Drosophila melanogaster: one gene and its partners. The protein of the gene in region 3 interacts with the protein of the main gene of each other region in a pairwise test. Each region holds a gene or a part of one and is shown on either strand. Other genes may lie near its edges.

Region 1 (7,899 bases), 6.3 Mb from region 3:
AGAAAACCCATGCTTCCAATTCAACTAAAATGTGAGTGTTTTTGGTATCGTTCTAAACTTCGATGAGGAATTTGCGACTCGGTGAGCGGGCAACCTTGGCTCCAAATTGCTTTATTCTCTGCCGGACGTCGGCCAACGTCAGCTTGTTCCTCTTGCTGTAGACATTGAGATATATGCCCAGGACAACGATGAGGCCCGACCACAGATATCTGAAAGTTTGGGATAGGTATAATAGAGCTTTGTCTTTAGAAATACACAGAATAGTACTTACTGTAAGGTAAAGGGCTTGCTGAAAAGCACAAAGGAGAAGGCTATAGTCACAGCCTTGCGGGCGGTGGTCACTGTGGCAGCTATGGGGGCACCACTACTCCTCACCAGAGCCAGCACAAACTGAATGCCCAGATAGCCGGACAAACTAAAGAGGAAGCCATAGCCGAAGGTCTCAACGGGATGCTAAATGGATAATACACTTTAGATCTCTTACATCATAAACCTCAAATGTTACCCACCTCCAAACAGAATGCAAAGCCGCTGAAGAAGTTGCCGGTAACCAGCATAATCACAAATAGGTACACAAAACCCAAGCCGTATGAGTAGAACACCACCTCACTGCTGGGCGCCTTGAATTCCCGCATCGCCTTCTCCTGGACATTGCCAATGGCTGCGTCGCAGAGCAGCGCTCCCGAAATCATGGCCACACCAAGCAGATTGAAATTGGGCGTCATCTGGGAGTCGGCCAGCGTGAACCAGGCCAATCCGATGCACATGCAGGTGGCTGCCGCAAAGTCCAGCAGTCCGTAGCGTTTGCCCTGTATGAGGATGCTGCCCACCAGCACGGGAATGAGCTTGCAGCACTTGAAAATCACCTGGGTGGGATAGTTCAGGTAGCCGAGACTTGAGTTGGACAGACCCATGGTACCCAGCGTGAGAGCAGCCAGAATTAGGTATGTTCTCATGGGAATGCAACGTGGCTCCGGCTCAATGTTCCAAAAGGAACCGCCGCTTATCCGATAGCCCTCCAGCCGCCGCTCCACCAAACCGAAGCCGATGTAGTAGCCAAACTGGACGAGCGTGAGGAACCATCCGTAGGGTTTGAATCCTTCGACGGTGAAGATCAGCTCCTGCAGATAGCCGTACAGGATGTACAGGAAGAAGACGCCGGCGCAGCTGAGCAGGAACTGAGTTGTGCGATTGTAGTAGGTGAGGTCAAAGCAAAGGATACGGAGTTCCGGCGGAGATTCCGACGTCGAGGACTTCCGCTGCGAGGGCGGCGAGTTTCCCGCCGATTCGCCGCCATTAATGGTGATAACGCTCCCCTTATTATCGGTCATTCTGCTGCTAGCGGATGTGTCTATATACATATACACACTATATAGTGGCTATTTCAAGATTATATTTCCAGGGAGCCCGTGTAATTCAATGCCACGCTGTCCGCGGAGTTGTCGGTTTAAAGTGCGGATTTGTCATGCCTCCTCGGATGCTGCATTAATCACGGGCCGGCGTGGAGATTTCTGTTGGGTGCAAATTGCCCTGGCTAAATGTTTGTTTACCACAAATAAACTATTTTTGTCAGCTTAGAACTGAGATAGACGCGCGGCGTTGCCACGTTGTGGTAATAATAGAAGAGAGACCGGTATAACGTGGAACAAGTTGGCAGCTCTGCTACCACCGTCATTCTAATTGGAACTTCTGCTACTGGCAATAAATACATTTAACAAATGAGCAGCGATAAAGGTTTAAGCCGCTTTTTTGCTCAAAAAAGCGTATGATAAGCGCTAAAAACTACTTAAAAAGTAGTGCCGAGAGTAACTCCTAGTATTTGACTACATGTCGTTCTAAGAATACAAAGATATGGGCACACTGTCGGAAAAAACAAGAAGAAGCAGTGAAAAGTGCCGCTGAAAAAGTGCAAAAAGTTATGAATTTAGTATTTTACATAGGATAATAGTGCTAATAACAGTCGCAAAATGGACGTGCAACCGCCACGCGGTAAGTGCAGCAATTAAAAAGTGCTGAATATAACTTAAAATCAAGCTAATTTTGTGCCCAAGTCGATTGGCATGCACATGTGTACACATACAAACAAACAAGCGCACGCACAACCTTTGATATGCTCACATTTTTTGCAAAAACCATTTGCTTTCTATTTGCAGATGCCAGTTTACGAAATATTATCGACAAACTGGCGGAGTTTGTGGCCAGAAATGGGCCGGAATTCGAGGCGATAACCAAGCAGAAGCAGCAGAACAATCCAAAGTTCGAGTTCCTCTACGGCGGGGAGTTCGCCAACTATTATCAATTCAGGGTGGCAGCGGAACAAGCTCGTGAGTGCGTTCTAAATTGGTGGAAAATAACCCCTATAATCTCCTTTTAACACCCAATACAGTGCTAAAGCAACAGGCCATTAACCAACAACTGCCACCAGGTGCTCCATCCGGCCACTACATGCAACATCCGCCGCCAATGCAGCAATCCCAACCACCGGGCCTCTATCCGCCACCCAATCAGCAGCCACCGCACCCGCCCGAAACCGCACAAGACAATATGCAACAGCAAACACAGCACTCCTGGCCGCCGAACTCCGGCAACGGTGGGCCGCCAAACAATCAGCAGGCCAATGGCAATCCCATGGCCATGAATCTAACGTCACAACTGGAAGCCATCAAGATGCAGCAGAAGTCGCTGCGGGAACAGATCCAGCAATCCGAAGCGAATCTCTCCGCACAGCACACGGTAATTTGAAGTTGGAAATAACTGGGATACCTCTATATGCCCACCTTTGCAAGCCTTTTTCCGAAAGATTAGAGCAGCTCGAGTGTATAAAGAAAAGATTTCAATATGATTTCATGTTGAATGTTGGCCTCCTCTGGCAAAAATTTAAAGAAGCAAATTGGTTTCCTTTTTAAACTAAATACCCACCTAAAAGTTGCTTTTATAGTCTGAATATAAGAACGTGTTTGCTTCTTCGAATTTTTGACCTCCCTTTTAAACGACCCAATCGAATGTGAATATACCTCGATTTTAAGCCAGAATGCTTTTAATTATTTTCTTAAGAGAGAAGATAACTTGTATAACCCTTATATACTTTCGGACTTAAATGATTTCCAAAGATATTGTCATAGACTCATAGATGGCAGTTTTGTATTCCCTAGTTTTTGTAATAACAACTCTGGAACAAGAGTTCATCAAATGGTGTTTAATATTAATAATTATGAACTGCTTTTGTGGACTTTTCACTCTATAAGTACTGTGAACTAAATTCTTTCTAATAAGAAGGACATTTCTTATTGCTTGTCGCTATTGAATTTCCCTGTAATGGAAGTGACTTCCCTCTTGAAATTGTTTCTTATGAAACTAATCCACGAATTCCTCAGAATAATCAATCCTGCTCTCGACCCTTTTCCAAATGTTTTTTCAATCGATCTACTCAGTTCTTGTTCTCCAAGTGCGGATAAGATAAAGTTAAAGTGTACTTTCAGCAATATCAAACTACAATCTATATTTGTCATTATTTTTACTATTTAATTAACAATTTACAATGCTACATTAAATTTTTGCTTTATTGTATTTTTTGAAACATAAACCAAAAAAAAAAAAACCAAATCAAACCACTCTTCATACCAACTGACAAAACTGTATAAAAACAAAAAAAAAACAAATCCTAAAATCAAATTTGTTTTGAAACGCTTGTCAAATGAATCCCAAAATGCGAATATGCATGCGAACAAACCTTTGTGTGCCTAATGACCAAACCGAACCGATCCGAACCACACCAACGCTTGCGATCCTAATCGCACCAATCAACCAAACGAAACCAACCTGTAGGCCCTGATGAATCAGAAGACCAAGCAGATCGAGGATGCAATTGCGGCGGCGCAGACGGCGCAGCAGGAACAGATGGCTGGCGAACAGGGCATTGTGCTGAGGGACTTCGATGGCGTTCTGCAGCCGATCATCGAGTCCTGCACGAAGGACAGCATCTCTGCAGGTAAATACGAGTTCAGCGGACAGGCTGGATTACATTATTGCTTGTTTGTAGTCTCGTAATCAGTCATAAGTTAGCTAATGGAGCTGAATTTTTGATGCTCCGCAGCTTTGCTGCACACAAAGCGCACACTAAATGAATCCATACTACTTTTTGATTAATCCTAAACCTAATTTATAATCGCCATGGACAATGACAATATGAGTAACCCGTTTGATATTGCAATTTTAGGCAAGAACTGGATTTTACAGCATTCAACCGACAGCGCAAAAATCAATGTCGTTTTACAATATCTTTTAAAGAAGTATGCCTCAGTTTTATACCTAATGACCTGCAATATGTATTAATTAAATTGTGTTTCTTTCTTTCAACGAGTGAAATACTAACCAAACATAGAAAAACGAAATACGAAATATCGAACAAACAAGTGAGAGATGATCGATTGAGCGATTGTGCGATTGAGACTTCCACAGAGAGGCTCGAGATTGATTCGTTGATTCGTTTTCGAGAGATGTTATGATCATATATGAGTAGTCCCCAGATCCGGAAGTCTTTTAGCTAGGGCCACACACCCAAACAAATCATTTTACTTAATAAGCTTAACCATAAACACGCACAACAACACACCAACACTTAACAGTGATAATCATCGGACAAAAAAAAAAAACCAAAAAAAAAAACACAAATACCAAAAAGAAAGAAGATTTACTAACAAAAATCATTATACTTGCACAACAAGTACTTTTGGCAATGTTGTTGTGCATACAGAGAACTAGAAAAATATGTTTTTCGTTTGTTAATTTATTTTTAGGGCTTTGGTCAATGGTTCAACGTTTCAGCAAAAATTGCATCTTATATATTTAGTTAATGATATACTCCATCACTGGTAAGTTCGCCCAGTCAATTATTAGTATAGTATAGTATTTAAGGGCCATAGACCTCAATAACTAACCCACTGAGCAGTAAGACTACTTTGTGGGTTAGTTTCTGCGGACGACTACGCTGACAGAATTGGACTGAACCTGACCGACCACCGGACTTCGGACATCATACCTTGACATTTAGAGTAGCTAGGAGATGAGACCTAAGTCCAACGATATATTTACAGCATGCGCAAGAACATCAATGACTTGAAGAACAGCCTCGAGAACGTCGTCATTCCGATGTTCTGCAGCGCCGACTTGAGTATGTATTTCCACTTCGATCCATTCCTTTACGGATTTCTAATAGTGTTATCCTCGCCCACAGTTGGCAACCCCGACCAGCGCCAGAAGCTAGCCAAGCTGCTGTCTCTGTGGGAGTCCAAGGCGAAGTTCTTCGATGCCTGCGTCATCTCGAAGCTTCAGTCACCGGACTCGTCAATGCAGGAGTACAAAACCAATCTGCAGAACACACATCATGATATAACTGCTAAATTCACGCAGAATACCAAGGCGACTTTGGATAAGTAAGTATAAAAGTCCAAGAACATAATAGAGCACATAATAAACCATAACTCTTATGCTTCAGCTATCAGAAACAGCATCATGTATTTATCCAACATGCTAGCCAGCAAATTGTGCAGCTGGAGAAACAGGCGCAGCACCTGGAGCAGCAGATTGTGGCCCAGAAGTCCCAGCAGCAACACATGCTTCAGCATCAGCAGAAGAACATACCATCGCTGATGTCCCACCGAATAGCAATGCCGGGTGACCATGAGCACATGAATAGCCAGGGGCCGCATGATCAGCAGCATCCGCAGGCGGGAAATAATATGTATCCAGGTGGTAACTTCCAACAGCAGCAGCCACCACCGGGGAATCACTTTGCGGATCCACGCGGACCGAACTTCTTCATTCCGGACATGTCCAAACCACCACCAGGCTTCCCCGGACCCATGCATCATAATCAGGGCCCAGCAATGGGCCAGCAGCAGCCACAACCGGGACAGTTTCCGCCCATGCAGGCGCCGGGTTCTGGCAATGAACCACCTGTTGATCTTGGCGTTCTCAGTGCAGCGATTCAGGCGTGCTTACAGATGCAGCAGCAACACCATCCTGACGACCCTCAGCAACAAGGACAGCACCAACTGCAGCAGCAGCAGCAGCAACAACCGCAGCAGCAAAAGCAGCCGCCGCCAATGGCTGCCTATCCCCAGAATATTGTTAGACCTGGCCAGCAAAATGCTGATAGCAGCGAAGTGGATCTGGATGTGCTCAATGCAGCCATTCGCGCGGTTATAACCAACAAACCCGAAGACGGAACATTGGAAGATGGCCAGCAACCACAGAAATTGGTCGACGGAGAATCTGGAGAACCTGTTGTGATCGGAGAGCCACAAATACCCACAGCGCCTTACTACGACCTGCCAGCGGGCCTCATGGTGCCGCTCATTCGTCTGGAGGATTACAACTACAAAGCCCTCGATCCGGCGGACATTCGACTGCCAGCTCCAGCGCCACAAAGCGAGCGATTAACAAATGCATTGAACGCCTTCTATTCCGCACCCTCACACGATCGTCCAAGGGATAAGTAAGTATTTCAATTTGATGTTATTGAGCGTTCCTTATAAATGGGCTTATCTTGCAGTGAGGGTTGGGAGAAGCTTGGTCTCTATGAGTACTATAAGGTGAAGAATGCGGCGCGAAAGCAAAAAGAAGAGGAAATCAAGGACGGCATTCGAGAAAAGTCGCGGTCGCCAAGTCCGATTGTGCTCGAGAAACCCCTACCCAAAAAGAGCAACAAGCGAGTTTATCGGTGAGTGTTGGTTTTCCATCAAAAATTTTCACACAAAAACTAGAAATATTTGCACTTATTTTCTTGCGCAGATCCAAGAGTCGCAGTCGCTCCCGCTCAAAAACGCCGCCCCATCGAGATAGATCGTTGTCTCGCTCCCGATCCCGCTCGCGATCCATGGAGCGCTCTTTAACGCCGCCACCGATGAATCGGAGCAGGTTGGGCGGTGGTAACAACCGCAAGGGTCGCAATCGATCTCCTCGCCACGAACGGGACAACAACAGCGGCAGCACAAATACCAGAGAGGGCCGTGGTGATCGTGGCAATTCCAATAGCCGAGACAATGGCAACAGCACCAACCTAAGACGAGTGGACCGCGACAGATCTCTAACACCTCCGAGCTTTCTGTAAATCATGGCTATAGTACAATTTCATGACAGTCGGACCAATGAGCTATCTTTGTTTTTCCAGGGGAAGCACATTTGCCAAGCCAGCGGATTTCATCGAGGAATCGAACAAGGGCCACCAAATGCTCATGAAAATGGGTTGGGCGGGCACGGGAACTGGACTGGGCTCAAAGAATCAAGGCATCGACACGCCCATTTCGGGAGGCGAGGTGCGCGATCGTCGAGAGATGTACAAGGTGAAGTGGCAAGAGTGCGCAAGAAAGGACAACTTATAATTTTCTATCCACAGGGAGTGGGCGCTAATATGCACGATCCCTTCGAGAGCTTTCGGAAGAACAAAGGAGCTGCCTTCGCGCACCGGATGCGATCGCGAGACGACAAGAGTTAGGATCTGCCAACGGTCATAACTTCCCAGTTTTTTGTTTCCTTTAGCCCAGAAAATATACATTTTTATAAAAGCGAACTGAATTTTTATACAAGATTAGGCTATAACATTAAAGCTGGATTGAGCGGCCTTGGCATTTACTTTTTCCAGGACCTGGACCAGGCCCTTGCCAGGACCGCATTCGAAGGTGCGTGGAAAGTCGACGCCCTGCTTGCGCTCGTACATCTCGTGGAGAGTCTGCTCCCACTTGACGGGCCTCACGATTTGCTTGGGCAGCTGCGTTAGGATGTGCTTGGCATGGCGATAGGGTTTGCCATCCACATTGGAGTACACTCTAATGACGGGGTCCTGAAGTCGCACCGTTTTCAGGGCTTTGGTAAATGGCTCCACGGCGCTTTGCATTAGAG
Region 2 (4,934 bases), on a different chromosome or scaffold from region 3:
AACCAGTAATTCCGTTTTGAAGAAAACAAAATTGAGCTCAAATCAATAAAAACATTACAAAGCGAAACGAATTAATAAAATCACTAAGTGTGAATATTAAGAACACCATTTAATAATATCTTGTGCTCGAATTTGTCTTAATAGCTTAAGTTAAAAATATCTAAAATCGGTATTTATCTCCGTTGAACAGCACATTTCGCATAAAAATGTTGAACGTAGATAAAGAATCATAAAAAATAATTAAGCTATAGTGGAGTTGTTAACAAAAACAAAAGGCGACAGTGAACCTTTTTGGTCATTTCATATCTCAAGAGAAAACAAAGAAGAGCGGTTCAAAAGTTCAAGGCAGTTTCCCTTTGAATAGTCACAAATATCTTATCAACATCTCAAAGTTTTTATGGATTCTTTGAAATATACCAAACTAATGTATAAAACAAGCAAAAGCAAGTAAAAAGGAAAAGCCTTTACTGATTAAAAATATATACATATGATCCATTACAGAAAATGAAAATCGATGGCCTAGTCTTAAACTTAAAGTGATTAGACTTCAAGCTACAAAGTCTATGAAACACCCAAAGATAGAAACATTTTTAAGCCAAAGTGTTAAGGAAAGGTTTCTACGTGAAATCGCATAATACTATAAAATGTTTTCTACTAAATTTGCGAATATTTTAATGCATCGCATGGTCCGAACACAATTAAATATTGACTCTACATTCGTCACTACGTGAACTGCCTCCTCGATTATTGAAGCCTGTCTACAAAATGAAAGACTTATAGAGCAGGGAAACAGGCATCGCTTACAGTCCCTTAGTGGTATATACAACAATCGTGGTTTATAATTCGTTACTTAGGACAGAACAAGGTCCACCCTGCAGTAGGAATTCAGCACACAAAATCCGATCGGCAAGCTGTTGCCACCTTACAAATGAAATTTTGGCAAAATTCACAGAGGCCATAAACGTTTGCTGGCATTTTATTATGCATATTTGATAAATTATCATAAAAATAAGAAGTGAAATAAATCACGGGCCACATAAAAGTCAGCGCTGTGTGTGCATATGTATGTTGTTTTATGGCAAACAGTTGTCATTAAATCAAAAGGCTGCACTCATTATGACATAAAAGCAGGGAAAGGCAAATGGAAAATGTGAAATGTGAAAGCGCAAAGCACTCATAAAAATGCAGAGTGAAACGCTTGCCGTAATTTATGTAATACAGATTTAATAAGGCTGTAAAACGGATTCTCCTTTTATTCCGACTGCTCTCCATAATTCAAGCAAAGCAATCGGCGACAGAGAGCTGCTCAGTCCGAAGATTGAGGGACTCCCAGACTCCCAGACGCTCCACTCACCCTTCGTCCGGCAGAGTAATCCCAGGATGGTGGCCAGCAGGAGGCAGGACCTCAGGGAATTGCCGCTCGTCATGCTGTCGCTCCTTATAATCCCAAGAAGAATCTCACTTTCGGCGGATTTCACGGATGGCATTGCACTTTGCTTGCTGCACCTTACTTGCACATTTTTGCTCTGACTCTTTGCTTGGCTCCTTTGGCCCACACACACTGGCACACACACAGAGCGATATACCGACAAACCGGTACACCGGTACACCAATACACCGACACAGCGAGGATTCCGCACAGTACAGGAACCTTCGCCGCTGTTTGTTCGCCGTTTTAGGTGGCTCCGATGTTTGTTTGCGCTCCTTCTTCGGCTGTGTTTACGCTAGCACTTTATACCTTGGTAGGAACGGCTGTTTTTATCGCACTCGAGTTGTTTGTTATTTTTAGAATGTACAGAATGGCGGTGGTATGCTGCATTCACAATGCCGGTGCTGCGCCTGCTAAATGTGGGCCCTCTTAAGTAGGCAACGATTTTCGCAGCCATGCCAATTTATGGAGGCTGAATGTAAATGGAACTCAACTACCGCCATTAGGACCCGCTTATATTGAATTTATTTCACGGCCTCCTAATGGCGCAACTGTGATTCACTTTCCCCGGCCTTCAGCCGTTCGGCTTTCGTCCTCCGCCTCCCAACTCCCCCACTTGGTACTCCTTTCGCCGGAGCTACGTGCCTGGTTAGTTGAGAAAGACCCAACAAGTGTTTCCTTCAGAAAGTTGCCTTACGAAATTTGCGAAGGAAGCTGCGGCAGCTGCGATTGCCACGTTCTGTGGCGGCTGATTTCGAATGAAATTGAATCCCATTAACTAATCATAAAGAAGTGAATACGGAGGAGGTCTTCCCCGATGGACGCACACTCCCGGTCCAAGTGCTCGTGCTCGTGTTTATCCAACGGCCGTGGTAACTGCACCGTCAATCCATTTAATCTGTGGCACTGGAGAGGCTTAGCTATCCAAATGGCACGAGCACTGGAGCGGGTAAGGGTGTTAGGTGGTCAGGGAGTGAGGGGCGCCACCGGGAAATCGGGGAGCTGGGAACATGGTGGCTGGGAAAGCAAAGCAAAGCCAAACGGAACGAAAGCATCCGCAGGAGGCTGGAGCGGAAATTCATTGCCACGTTTGAAGTGTGAGAAATTAGCGCCATGCCAGCGGCAATCCCAATCCCAATCCCCACCCCATCTCGATCCCAATCGCAACCAAGTCCGGATCCCAATCCGCACACCCACGTGACTGTCGCACACATTGATGGATGAAACAAAGCTGGCAAAGGTTGGCAGCCATAACTTCTAATAAAGGCGGTCCGAATGCCGCGTGGCCGGGTGGTATTTAATTTACGTTTAATTTTCGACGATTTCCGTTCAACTTGATTGAGTTTCGACTGCACTGGCATGCCGTGATTTATTCGCAGGCGCTTTAATGGCATTCGTTTTGCCTCCGCGGCTCAGTTTCCGATGTTTGCGTTTGATTAAGAGAGGCGGAGAGAGGGTCCCTAATTACATTTTATGTTAATTGAATGCACTTCTCGCATCAAGACTCGCTTTAAATCGGCCACAAAGCGGCGTCGGTCCGTCACACACGGCGGCTACGCGATGACTGAGTCCTTGGACCTGCGACACTCTGCGCTCAGCACTGCGACGGCACTGTTGCCGCGGATGCTGAGTCCTTTGTATTTATTGCACACAAGCACAGCAGCCGCCGACAACTCAATCTCCGCTCTCTCTCTCTCTCTCTGTCTCTCTCTCTATCTCCTCCGAGAGAGCGCTCTCCCCGCTTTTATGAATGAGTTGTGCGCAATAAACACAGCTGCGGCAGCAACGATAACAGCGCCTGTTAGCCGTATGTTAGCCACCGGATTCATGCAAATTGCACCAAAGTGAATCAGCTACAGGCCGCTATCCGTTATTTTCGGTGGAAATTGCATTTTCCCTTTGGCGCCTTTGGGCCATTTGGGCTCGCACTTGCCACCTTAAAATGCATTGTCGCCACCGCCGGCAGTTGTCTTAATCGCATTGCACGGGGGAAAATATATCACTGCAGATGAAAGTATCTTCTCAGTCAGTATCTTGTAATCACTACCAAGAATGACCTGCGCGAAGCAGCAATGTATGCATGTGGGTGCTCAATCTTGGGTTTTGCCAAAGGGGTAACTGATGAACTGATAAGTATACAGTCTATACAGTCTATACAGCCTATACAGTATATGCAATATTCGTCGAGTGGTCCTTCAACCCGCAATTATCACCTCCCCACTTAAAAAAAAAAAAGCTTTGATAGTGAAATACTTCTTAAAATTCTTAATCTTACAACTTGATACTTTTTATTGAGAAATGATGGGATGGGGAAACTTGTGCAGGTTTCAAATTCTTTAAAACTCAATTACTTTAATAAGCGCGTAAGTTGAACGTTTCAATCTCTATTCAATTGTTTTTGCACATTATAATGTCAGCGGAAAATGGCTGAACGCTTAAATTTTTAAAAGTGATACTTTAAACAAACAAGGATTTTGAGCAGAGGAACCGTGGGGACGTGCATGTGGAGGAGCATAGTTACATTAGCACTGCGTTAAAGTAAAATATTTGGATATTTTTCCGAGCGGGACATGCTTGGGGCAGGACATGTGGCGCACAGCACCACCACGGGCTAAAGTTCAGTCCAAGGCACCGGGAACAAAGTGTAAATATGTAAATGACAGACGCCCACACACCCGTACACACCCACCGACACACAGCCACACACACTTAAGGACGCAGGACCTGTCAGGACTGTGAGGCCGTTGAGTGACGGGCGATGTTTGCTGTGAAGCTTGTTAGACATTACAATGCGTGTTTGTGCCAGGATAACTGTCAACAGTTGCCGCTGAATTCGCAGCTTTTCTTATTTTTCAAGTTTGCTAATTTCTTTTGTACACTTTGAGCTGCCTAACAACGTCATGCATTAACACAATATAACAATACCCGGCCAAAATGGAGAGCTACTCCTCCACTCTTTGAGTATCCTTGGATTTTGAGCAACAGTTGGCGATGAATGCGCCAGATAAATCACGGTCAAGAAGTTGCTCCAGATGTAACAATCCATTCACTTCCGGTCATATGAGGGATGGCAATTGACCCAATCTAAGTGCTGAATATTTATGTGAATGCAAATCGTTATCCGTATGCAAGCAATTTATGCAGAAAATATTTATATCGTTATGGCTAAATATTGCCAGTTGGCAGATGATGCCGATCCGATATGAATTTAATGTTTGCCAAAGCAATTATATTGCTCCCCACAAATGCGCGCATTAATCGAAATCATAACCAGCAAAAAGAGCGTATGAGCAAATGTATTTAAATATTTAACTATGCATTATATGAATAACCATTTAATTAAGAGTTGTGGCCTACATATATTGTCACTTCAACCGGTCATCCGTGCTAAAAGGGTTGCATATTAATAATTAATTATTATGAAAAATCTTACTTTTTACCTACTCACATTCAAATATTGTGAAAATAATCTATGGAAATAGTTAAATCGCTTTATTTTACTTCC
Region 3 (3,637 bases):
TTTTAAGCTCCTAGTAATTGAATATTAAATATGAATAATATTGAATCCTAGCCAGTAAGAAGATTGCCCCGTTTTTCTAGGGGCGCACACCACACACACACAAACACACACAAACCATTCAACCAACAAATCCCCACCCCGCCCTAAAAACCTTTTTTGTAATTGTTAACCTTTTTTGGGAGTCCCAATTGGGATTGCTGAACTGCATGGCTCCCTTTTTTGGTCTTATTCAACAATTTTGTCGTACAATTCGTTTAGTTCTTAGCATCGTGAATAAATCTATAAATATAAATATTATATTTTTTAATCAATTTTAAGCATATGCATAGTATTAGTTGTAAACAAATTTTTAGGGTACAATAAATTACAGAAAACAATTAAACCAATTCTTGCATTGCCGGAGAGCCAGCCACAAACTTAACACATAATTCACATTTCATTACTCATTTCCGATATCAAATCCTCCACATGCCTTATCCATGTTACAGCTCCGATACGAAGTTAGTACTGTTATTTAGTTGAGACCGCGAGGGATCCAGCAACCTTATATACCATATACCATAAATCATAATACCATATGATACCATGATCGTCGCCTAGGACTGTTTCTTTCATTTTGTTCCACTTTAAATGCAAAAATAACAGAGAAACATCGAAAACTTAAAGCTAAAAAGATATGATAATTTGTACATATATTTGACAGATGAGGTATTCATCTTCGGTAAACCGAAATCTATATACTCTTCCCATTAGAACCGAACAGAACAGAGCAGAACTTCAGGTTTTCGATCCTCCATTGAAGATATGAATATAATATTGACTGAATATTAGCATATACACAGATTAGTAGGAATCTAGCAGAAGCAGAGGCTTGCATAAATCCCTAAACATACGAGGTAAAATAATATATATATATATACATATATATATTTTTGATTTATCGGACGGCAGTAAAGTAGGTTTACATTCAGGCGAATCATTCGGAACACAAACCAAATTCACTTTGGGCATGCGAAATCAAAATGTGATCAAAAAAATATGAAATTACAAAAACGTAAGAAAACGAGAATAATGAGAAAACAATTAAACGGAAACAAGCAGATGAGAAATTCACAATTATTGTAAGCTAAATACAAATAAAAATAAAAAAATAACTACAAATGCATTGTAATTCAGTCGGCATCAGTTTCAGTGTGTATGTGTGTTTGAAATTCTATGCTAAATGTAAAACAGTATAAGAATATAACAGTTTTTAAACCAAAATCGACTGGTGTTTGATTGTTTATTTGGGAGGCTTGAATCGCCAAATTAATAAATTGATTTTTAAGTCAGTTCCAGCAATTTTAAACTTATTTGTTATGTAAATGCAAATAATACATTATTAACATTTCGGCCAATTAATATTTTGTATAGATTATACAGCTTTTAAATAACTTAATTTTAAATATTCAATTAGATATTCAACTTATTTGTTCAAATTCAAAAGAACCATTTTTTCAATACAAATTTTGAACATTTATCGCACTGCTTGGCCTATCGATATGTATCGACTTTCGCCCACCGCTGGCGCACACACACATGCACAAGCACGCCCACTTCTCTTAATTTAGCCAAAGCCAAATAGCAAAAAGAACTAAACCAGCTTTTTTGGCCCCCATTTGTGTTGTTGGTGCTGTTCTGTGCGAATAAAAGGCCACGCGATGATAAGCTTTCTGTTCATTGTAAATCGGGCGCTCAGCAGCAGCAGCAGCAGTAGCAGTGCAGCGGCATCCTTAACGAGCAAGAAGATGACCGCCCCCGGGCCACGCCCCCTTGTCCTATGCGGTCCCTCGGGATCCGGAAAGAGTACGCTGCTGAAAAGGCTATTCGCCGAATTCCCCAGCACCTTTGGCTTCAGCATATCGCACACCACGCGGAAGCCGCGTGAGGGCGAGGAGCATGGCGTGCACTACTATTTTGTGGAACGTCCGGAAATGGAGGCAGCCATCGCTGGCGACGAGTTCATCGAGACGGCCGAGTTTACGGGCAATCTTTATGGAACGAGCAAGGCGGCGGTTAGAGAGATCCAGGCACAGGGACGGGTCTGCATACTGGACATCGAACAGAAGGGAGTGGAGCAGATCAAGCGTACGGATCTCAATCCCATACTGATATTCAACAATCCACCGAGCATCAAGGAGCTGGAGCGACGACTTCGCAAACGTGGCTCCGAAACGGAGGAGTCGCTGAGCAAGCGCCTCAATGCCGCTCAGGTGGAGCTCGATTATGGTTTGACGCCCGGCAACTTCCACAAGATCATCAATAACGTGGACATCGATGTGGCCTACGAGGAATTCCGCAACTTTGTCGTCCAGGAACTCAAGGAGCAGCAGAAGCAGGGAGTATCAGTTAACTTGAATTAAGGCGAAGCATTTTGCGGACGAATGTAGAATGATATTAACCTCAATGGGGTGGGGGTAGAAATTGTTTGTGAACTGATCGACGACAGGAAAAGTAAATTATAGAAAACTTATCATTGGAAACGGCAGGAAGCTATAGGAAAACCAGGTACTCTTTATGCATATTGTAAAGAATTTAGCTTATAAGAGAAACTTAAAAACTTTCCGAAGATACAGAATATCAAACTTCATATTTTAACTAATAGTTTTCTTAAATAAAATAGAAATAATACTCTCCATTCAATAATCGCATATATAAGAGCAATATCAAGATTTTAGTTTTATGTAGAAGCAGACTATTTTTGAATTCTAGGACAAACTTTGCTTATATTGTGAAAAATACTTTGTCAGCAGCAGAATATTGTTAGTAAACAATTGCTTAGCCAGCGAACTTGACCCAATGTTTCCAATGAAAGTAGACCATAGATTACTTTTCGTGACCCCGATGCCTGGAGCCCCCACCCTGCAAACCACTTTGACTAATGGCATTTATACTTAAGAAATGGCTTGTATTTATTATATACTCTCCTCCTGTCCACCTCATCATTGTTGTGCAAATTCGTTGTTCTAGTTGTAATTTTAAGCTGAAATTTGTTGCGCGCCGCTTCACGGTCGAGAAAACCGGAGAGGGCGATTAAAATGGAATCAATAAAGCGAACATTATGCGGGTATATTGTATTTTCACAAACGTTCTATATATATTTCCAACAAAGCCAAGCCCGAGAAGGTCAAAATGTTATCTATCGTCAGTGGGATTGTTTATACAGTGGCCGTCTGTCTCCTCACGCAATCGCTCGATTTTGTCCCCGGCCGCCCGCCTGCTGATGTCTGGAATTCTCACGGCTCTATTTGTCGAATGTAATACGCACGCCCACGCGAAAGTCCTGCTCCGAACCTTGGATTACGAGGGATACGCATTGGTCTTATAGTCATGGTGTAGATGCAGTTTGGCCTGGTATCTGGTGCTGCCCGTACCCGATTGTGTTCCATGTGTTCGATGCACCAGGCTGGCAGAGCCATCGATCTTCGTCCGACTGTCCGCACTGCTCCATAGCCCGGCGATGGCCTCCAGAGCCAGTTCCGTCTCCTCATCGTTGTCGTCGTGCTCCGCCGAAACCGTGAGATCGATCTGACGACGCTGGCGAGGCACCGATGCCGCCAAGCCGATGGAGATGACGAGCAGTAGCAGAAGGTACTGA

Evidence for each region.
Region 1: the proteins of CG11811 (region 3) and scaf6 interact in a two-hybrid assay, tested with the Drosophila melanogaster proteins (one large-scale study listed by BioGRID).
Region 2: the proteins of CG11811 (region 3) and CG15236 interact in a two-hybrid assay, tested with the Drosophila melanogaster proteins (one large-scale study listed by BioGRID).

The regions. Positions count from the first base shown.
Region 1 is NT_037436.4:17,036,528-17,044,426, reverse strand, and holds scaf6 (SR-related CTD associated factor 6), read left to right. Parts: upstream 1-1,852; 5' UTR 1,853-1,967; coding exon 1,968-1,989; intron 1,990-2,153; coding exon 2,154-2,324; intron 2,325-2,386; coding exon 2,387-2,733; coding exon of another isoform or gene 2,734-2,742; exon of another isoform or gene 2,743-3,493; intron 3,494-3,825; coding exon 3,826-3,988; intron 3,989-4,216; coding exon 4,217-4,289; intron 4,290-4,796; coding exon 4,797-4,871; intron 4,872-5,093; coding exon 5,094-5,170; intron 5,171-5,233; coding exon 5,234-5,432; intron 5,433-5,494; coding exon 5,495-6,496; intron 6,497-6,553; coding exon 6,554-6,721; intron 6,722-6,792; coding exon 6,793-7,107; intron 7,108-7,171; coding exon 7,172-7,343; intron 7,344-7,396; coding exon 7,397-7,495; 3' UTR 7,496-7,568; downstream 7,569-7,899. Other genes in the region: Papst2 (PAPS transporter 2), read right to left, coding at 53-209, 272-453, 510-1,361; beg (bad egg), read right to left, coding at 7,589-7,899.
Region 2 is NT_033778.4:6,826,469-6,831,402, reverse strand, and holds the start of CG15236 (uncharacterized protein), read right to left. Parts: upstream 3,048-4,934; 5' UTR 2,736-3,047; intron 1,902-2,735; exon of another isoform or gene 1,843-1,901; 5' UTR 1,488-1,842; coding exon 1,355-1,487; intron 108-1,354; exon of another isoform or gene 10-107; coding exon of another isoform or gene 1-9. Other genes in the region: CG34215 (uncharacterized protein), read left to right, coding at 1-9.
Region 3 is NT_037436.4:10,689,476-10,693,112, forward strand, and holds CG11811 (uncharacterized protein), read left to right. Parts: upstream 1-1,548; 5' UTR 1,549-1,700; coding exon 1,701-2,402; 3' UTR 2,403-3,123; downstream 3,124-3,637. Other genes in the region: CG33493 (uncharacterized protein), read right to left, coding at 3,340-3,637.